Linked DNA regions of Rattus norvegicus. Each later gene encodes a partner of the first gene's protein in a complex. Links are inferred from orthologs where the notes say so. Each region holds a gene or a part of one and is shown on either strand. Other genes may lie near its edges.

Region 1 (3,500 bases):
CTTACTAGAGTTACAAACTATAAGAACGTGTAACATCATGCCAGTGTGCAGAAGCTATTCAAATTCACTGGCTTTCTGCAAAACAGAATCTAACATTTAAATAAGCAAATGGAATTTTCACTTCCGGTACTGTGTTTACAGTATTAATTCAATCCATTCTCTTCTGTAAAGCATTATCTCTCTGTCTTAGTTAGGGTTTTACTGCTGTGAACAGACACCATGACCAAGGCAATTCTTATAAGGACATTATTTAATTTGGACTACCTTACAGGTTCAGAGGTTCAGTCCATTATCATCAAGGCTGGAGCATGGCAACATCCAGGCAGGTATGGTGCAGGAGGAGCTGAGAGTTCTACATCTTCATCCGTAAGAAGCCAAGAACAGACTGAACATCCTCAGGCAGCTAGGAGGAGGTCTCTGAGCCCACCCCACAGTGACACACTTCCTTAATAGTGCACTCCCAGGGTCAAGCAAATGTAAACCATCACGTTCTCTTACGTTCGACTTTCTTAAATCTTTACTAATACTTAAAATGGCTAACACTCTTGCCTTCTGACCACATTGGCACTGTCATCTCTGTTGCTTGTGTTTTATGAACTGATTTTTCTCCTCATTATAGGTCACCTTTTTCAGATACTGAGCATACCTAATTCCAGACTGGATGCTGGACACTGAGATATCTTCTTAAGTCTTGTTTTCTGTTTTTTAAGTCTCTGATTTTTGAGGCAGCAGGGAGCTAAGTTTATCTGCATATCAAGCAGATAATGGTATGTTTATGGTATTTCTATGGAAAGGCAAGTAGTTTAGAATTAAGACCTACTACGAAGGCAATAGACTTCTACTGAATCTATGAAGTGTCTGGGTGCTGAGTAAGTTTCTAAATTTGTGCTGACAAGGAGAGCAAATGGTCCATACTGCTGCGAGCTCTGTGAATTACTGACCATAGCTCCCCAACACCGTGGAGCCCATGCTGGTTTCAGGAGCTGTTTTTTTTTTTTTTTTTCTGAGAGTTCCACCTCTTCCATATTTAACTTTATAAATTCCAGCTGTGCGAACTTCTCCAAGTTCTACTGTGTTTCTTCCTGCAAGCAGGATTCCCAAGCTCTACACCAACTGACCTCTGTTCTTTGTTCAGAATGTGCTTCTAGACAGAAAGGTAGGACAGTCAAAAGACACTTCTCATGTTTCCTTTAAGCAGAAGACTAGTATTAGAAAATAGGGACGTATGTGTTTTGTCCAGTTGTCCTCTTATTTAAAGAAAGATAGACTGTTCCTCCATCATGCACAAAACTTTAACACAGCATTGCCTGCATACTTTCATCTACAGCCAAAATAACAAAAACAAACGCTGAACTATAGTGGGAATGTTTGTTTCACAGCAGTCAGAACCAGCAATTCTTAAAGTAGTTTGCTTTTTGTCTAATTGAACAAGCCAATATCATAATGAGCAAAGGCATCTTTTCCATTTTTGAGGAAGTCCAAAAACACTGAGTGATGAGTCAAATGAATATTGTGGCACTGAAATGAAACTGGAGATATCAGAATGTTTTCATTTATAGATAACTGTATAAGAAAAAAACACAAGTATTCATAAATACTACGAGTTAAAATGTGACCATCCAAAAGATATCTGAGTCCTCCTTCTCTGTAGCACAGGAGATAGAAACAGGGTCATTACACATGTTCTCGGTGATAAGATCAGGAGCTGAGAGTAAGGCCCCGATCTATATGGCTGTTGTCCTTACAAGGAGGGTGGGCGGAGAGAGGTTCAGAAGAATACTGTTTCCTGGGAAATGCAAAGCCTGGAATGATACTGGTACAAGCCACGGAGTGTCAGAAACAGACAGCTGCTCCACGAGCTAGCGAGAGGCAAGCAGAGAGTCCACCCAGAGTCTAAAGGGGAAGTGTGGTTTGCTGACACCTTATTTTGGACTGTAAGAGAACACTTCTCTTTTAACAGCAGCCATAGAAACCTAAAACAGCAAGCCTGTGAGTACTCCCTACTGTTGTCACCAAATGGCTCTAGAACACTGACATCCTAGTACAGGTGAGCACACCAATTACCCAGACGCTCCATCTTGTGGTAGAAGATAAAGTGGTACTTATAAAACAGTGGGAATACACACACACCACTGTAATAGGTGCTCTCGGTGCTGATTGCAGAAATCAACTGAAGATACAAACGCTAGGATGGAGTTCCTGATTATACTTATAATCATCACCAAAGAGAAGAATGTTCACTTGTAGAATGCTGATTAATATTCTCAGAGGAATGAAGAGATTAGAAACTCACTCTGCAACCACCCAGGGACAAATAAGAGCAAGGTAAGCATTTGTCACAGATGCCGACACTAGTGGGTTAGATGCCAACAAAGTATGGCTATTACGTAGTCTCAGTTGAGTTACTTACTCAGCTACACATTACTTACAAAATTTAAACAGAAAAGTAGTGACTAGACAGTGGAGAAACTTGGGAGCAACAACCTTAATCAGACACAGAAGTCAACTTGACCAGTGGTGGAACCTATCATCTTAAGAGAATACCCTGTTCCTGGTGATCTCACAAACAGACCACTCTGGCCCTGAGGAGATTCTACTCTGATGACCGGTGTAAGGTTACCATTCAACCACTCTACCACCAGACTTTACTCTCATTAACACAACAGCAAGATGGTAAGTGGGAAGAAAGACATTACCACACTCTCACTTTGACCCTCAACACTTCAGATAGAAACCTGAAAAGTAGAATCGCCTGCCACATTCTGCCATAAGGGAGACTTAAAGTAGGCAGTACAGTTCCAGCAGCCATTCCATGGCACAGGAGATTCTGTCTATAGTGACAACTAAGTGTGTTGGCAGAACCTTGGCTCTCCTGCCTCAAGTGCTGGCCTTCTGCCAGTATTCTATTTCTACAGGTAAAGCGATGACCATCTGCCCAAGTGCTGGCCCAGGGCTAGCCTTGTAAACGGAAGAAACAAGGAAGGCCTGAGAGAGACCAGAACATGAGAATCATGGAGGAAAAAGAGGGCAGAGTTAAAGGGGGAAGTATGCAGATGGTCAGGGCTGAAGATCACCGGCTGTAGATGCAACTGAACCAGGATATCCAAACATGTCTGTGACGCTAATGGCATGCTTACCGGTTGGTGGAGCCATTATAGCAGTAGTTGGGCAAGAAGTCATAGTTTAGCTCCCAGAAGACATGGAGGGTGATTCTTCCATAAGGTGCAGACACGTTGTGGTTGGCTTCCCGGAACATGGCATCAAAGCTGTCTAGTGTGAGGTACCTACTCAGCAGCTTGTGCGTCATACGGTTGATTTCTAAGAGCCCATCTAGCTCCTACAGGATCATAGGGACAAGGATATGAGAGGGGAGATGGGCCATCCAGGAAGGAGGTATTTACCTGAAGACTGCAATCTCCACCTAGGCTATGTGGTCCCTAGGAGGACTAGCACGTGGGGAGATACAAACAGTAGAGGCTGCAATGAGGTAGCCAACAAGA
Region 2 (4,194 bases), on another chromosome or scaffold:
GTCTGAAAACACACACAGCTCACTTCGGCAGCACATATATTAAAACTGAAAACACACACAAACATTATAAACAAAGAAAAAGAAATGACACAACTCCTTATCCTAATCAGCACTATTACCAATTAAAGTGGGTTGCTCTAAATTGTGTGTCTGTTCACTTTTTATGTGTAGATGTGTCTATGAACTCCTGCAGGTCCTCAGGTAGTCCAGAAGGTGTTAGATCCCCTGAAGCTGGAGTTACAGGTGGTTGTAAGCGGCCTCATTCAGGGATGGGAACCAAAGATGCAACAAACTCAAGGCTTTTCACACTAAAATAAATAAAAGTTGTACATTTTTAAAAAGATTGATTGATTGATTGATTGATTTCATGCATGTGAGTACACTGTCGCTGTCTTCAGACACACCAGAAGAGGACACTGGATCCCACTACAGATGGTTGTGAGCCACCACGTGGTTGCTGGGAATTGAACTCAGGACCTCTGGAAGAGCAGTCAGTGCTCTTAACCACTGAGCCATCCCTCCAGCCCAAAGTTGTACATTTTTTAGTATCTATAAAATACAAGATCACTTTTCTATTTCCACACTATATCCATATTTCTGTACCATTTTTTAAAGGATTTAACATATTAGACTTATTTTACTTTTGAGTATCTTTGCCTACATGTGTATATGTGTGTGCTTGTGTGTCTGTATGTATGCTGAACGTGTGTTTGAAGCCCAAAGGTGTCAGAAGAAGCAGTGGATCCCCTGGTCCGTAGTTAAGGATGGTTGTGAACCAACATGAGGGTGCTGGGAATTGAACTCGATCGAGTCCTCTGCAAAAGCACCAACTGCTCTTAACAGTTGTCAAGGCACCCTTTCTGCTCCTTAAAATGTGTTTTGTTTTTTTTTTTTTTTTTTTTTGGTTCTTTTTTTCGGAGCTGGGGACCGAACCCAGGGCCTTGCGCTTCCAAGGTAAGCGCTCTACCACTGAGCTAAATCCCCAGCCCTAAAATGTGTTTTTAACCAGCTTCATATATAGTTTTCAGAAACAAGTCATACAGAAGACACAGGAGGCATTCAATAAGTTTATCAGCAGATTACCAGAGTCAAAGGCTGGAAAAGAAGGCATGAAGACAAATTCCTTGGCACACCACTCCAGACAGAATGTTACTAATATGGAAAGTGGCAAATACTTAAGCCTCAAAACAGCATCTCCCTCTGAAAACGAAGTGTACAGGCATCCCCAAGCACAGAAGGCCCTTGCACACTCGCAAGGCACGTTCAGAAATCCTTCAGGTCTCAAGTACAATAACCCTAACTTTTCAAAGATTTCAGGTTTTGCCTTGTCAACAGGAAGTGAGCTTCTAGTCTCAGTATCTGATACAAAGAATTCCACTACTTCATTTGCTTCTACTGCAAACTGTTAGTTTTTACACAACGACAGGAACTACAAGCCAAACCACTGCATACAATTCACTTACAATCGCTACTAAACATAAGCACGCATAGCATAGTAAAAGTGCCAAGAATTTCCTGATAAATTAAGAAGCAATTTTACGTTATGACCCAAAGATTAAATAATGCTTGCCAACCTACTTTATTCATACTCTTCTAAATATTAACTCATGATAGAAATCTCAGAACATAAGCAACGATGACACTACTGCGTTCAAAGGCAACAGTCCAAGAACATTTGGAGGAAGAGAAGTATTTAAGACATTTCCCACTGAATTTCCCTATGAATCATTCGTGCTTTATAATAACCAGTATACATTATCCTGAAGCAGAAGTAAATATGAGGAAAAGCCGGACTTGAAAATCGCCAAGTACGCAGATTTCCTCCAATTAAAAGAATTTTAAGATGAATTTTATCAAACCCTCAGCAATCACTCCCCGCACTGTACAAACGTGACTCGTGACAATTTTTTTAAATAAATAAAAGGCACACCCTCTAGGATGAACTGACATAATCACCCCCACCCCACCCAACCCTCCAACGACACACACCCCGCTTTTCCTTCCCTGCCCATTCCTCACGCAGCTGTCCGGATCTCATCACACTGGGCTCAGGGGCGACAGAGAATTCTGGGGTCCAAAGCGACCAAGGGAGGCTACGGGATTTCCAGGAGGACTTCAGCCAGGGCCGATCCCGGCCAGGGAAGGCTGAGGGGGGTCTTAGGACCAACAGTAGCCAAAAGAGGCAACGAGGAGTACAGCCCGACCAAGAGAAGACTGCAGCGAGTGGAGCCCCGGAGGAAAGACTGCCGGGAGCACGACCCGGCCTGGGAAAGCCGCCGGGGTCTAGGCGCAAACCTCAGCCAGGGCAGGTGGTGGGGAGCAGAGCTGGGCCGGGCAGGCTGAGAGAAGCAGAGCTCGGCCAGGATAGGCTTTGGGGAGCGACTGCACGGGCAGGCGGCGGGGAACGCCGCCGGTCCGGGGCAGGCTGCCGGGAGCGCAGCCGGCTGGGCACGCGGGGAGCGGCTTCAGGGCCGGCGGCGCCCGGGGCGGCCCTGCTCCTCACCCATTTTCTCGCGGCGGCCACTTCCTGTATCGCCGCGGCTGCGGCTGCTCGGGCCAGGGCGGAGGGTGGCGGAGTGGGGCAGCTCCCACCGCACCCAGCCTGCCCGTCGCCCCAGCGGTCCTCGCCGGCCGCCCAAGCGCCTCACCTGTATGTAGTTGTTTTCACAGTAGTCCGCCACCCGGGTCAGGTTCTGGTAACTCTCTATCAGCGCCCTCTTGCCAGACGGGATCTCCTCCTCTAGTAACATCTGCAGCTCTGCCATTTTCCACCCCTCCGCATCGCTTCCTCTCGCGTTAAAGAGACAGAGGCAGCTGAGTCCGACGGGGACCGAAGCGCCGCAGAGATCAGACACTAACCACCCACCCGCCCTCCGCCGGGTATTGTGGGACTGCACCTCCTCCTCTTCCTCTTTACTCTCCCCGCCCCCCTCCACCCAGGACGCACAGCCACCATAGACTCACTTTCTCGCGAGAATCATTTCCCTCTTACAACGAGAGTTTCCACCACGCCCTCTATAGCAATCCTTTCTGGGAATTGTAGTTTCTTCCTGGCTAGGCCGCGCATGCGTTTAAGGTGCTTCCAAAAATCCTGAAAAGAATTTAAAGAACCAAGACCTATACAGTCTTAAATCTAGACTCTTCTCAAGATCCCAGAAGATGGCGCCACAAGGTGATCTAAGCAGCGAAATTATTCCTATGAGAAAACTTTGAAAATTTGCAGAACTTACTTAATTAGGAAATGTCAGTAAGTCAAAGGCATCCAATCAGATAACAATTAAAAACAGAAACTGCGAGACCTGACTTCCTCAGTTTTGTGAGAGACTTTGCCTCAACTTATGCCCCAATTCATTTAAAACCTAGAAAACTATCAATTCTCAGATGTACATCAAGCAGTGTGCTTGCTATGGCAGAAACAAATGGGGCAAGGATAGTTTTCACGCTTAAGAATTTAAAGAAAGTAAATAAATAAATCCTTTTTTAAAAAAGAATTTAAAGAAAGCTGGGCGTGGTCGCAAACGTCTATGGCTAGCAGAGGCGATGGATCTACTTGAGTTCAAGGCCGGCCTGATTTAAAACCGAATTTCAGGACAGGGAAAAAAATTAATGAAGAGTGGCTGCACATCCATTATCCCAGCACTCGGGAAACTGACAATGAACTGAAAAACAGTCTGGGTTATAAAGGGTGATCATGTCTAAGACAGAGAATGAAGGATGGACAAATGCGAGGATGTTAACATTTAAAATAGACAATTTTAGGGCTGCCAATATGACTCAGCAGATAAAGGTGCTTTCTCAATTCAAACCCCAGAACTCATATGGCGGGAGACCAAAACAGCAGACTCCTACAGTTTTCCCTCTGACTGCCACACTACTCCATGGCAAAAGACTAGCGCTCTCTCTCTCTCTCTCTCTCTCTCTGTGTGTGTGTGTGTGTGTGTGTGTGTGTGTGTGTGTGTGTGTACATTTTTAAATATATAATTTCAGAACTTTCCTCTTCTAATTTCTTTTCTCATGCCTTCCTATTCTTTTTTAAGTAATGCACATATTTTTGTCTTACGTTATACAAAATTCTTTTGTTCTCATTTCTTATCACTTGCTCTGCAAATGTTTCAAAGGGTCTTTGACAGTATTTCAAGCCGTCATATCACCAGAACTATTAAATTATTTTGAAGTAATAGGCCGTGAAAAGAG

What was found. Proteins that work in one complex are often made in the same cells at the same time.
Region 2: Cyfip1 (region 1) and Abi1 share a complex: the UniProt entries of both Homo sapiens proteins name them as parts of the WAVE2 complex. The link is inferred for Rattus norvegicus from reciprocal best matches to the Homo sapiens genes CYFIP1 and ABI1.

The regions. Positions count from the first base shown.
Region 1 is NC_086019.1:115,916,320-115,919,819, reverse strand, and holds part of Cyfip1 (cytoplasmic FMR1-interacting protein 1), read right to left. Parts: intron 3,338-3,500; coding exon 3,138-3,337; intron 1-3,137. UniProt on the Homo sapiens protein: Component of the CYFIP1-EIF4E-FMR1 complex which binds to the mRNA cap and mediates translational repression. In the CYFIP1-EIF4E-FMR1 complex this subunit is an adapter between EIF4E and FMR1.
Region 2 is NC_086035.1:90,084,999-90,089,192, forward strand, and holds the start of Abi1 (abl interactor 1), read right to left. Parts: upstream 2,830-4,194; 5' UTR 2,766-2,829; coding exon 2,649-2,765; intron 1-2,648. UniProt on the Homo sapiens protein: May act in negative regulation of cell growth and transformation by interacting with nonreceptor tyrosine kinases ABL1 and/or ABL2. May play a role in regulation of EGF-induced Erk pathway activation. Involved in cytoskeletal reorganization and EGFR signaling.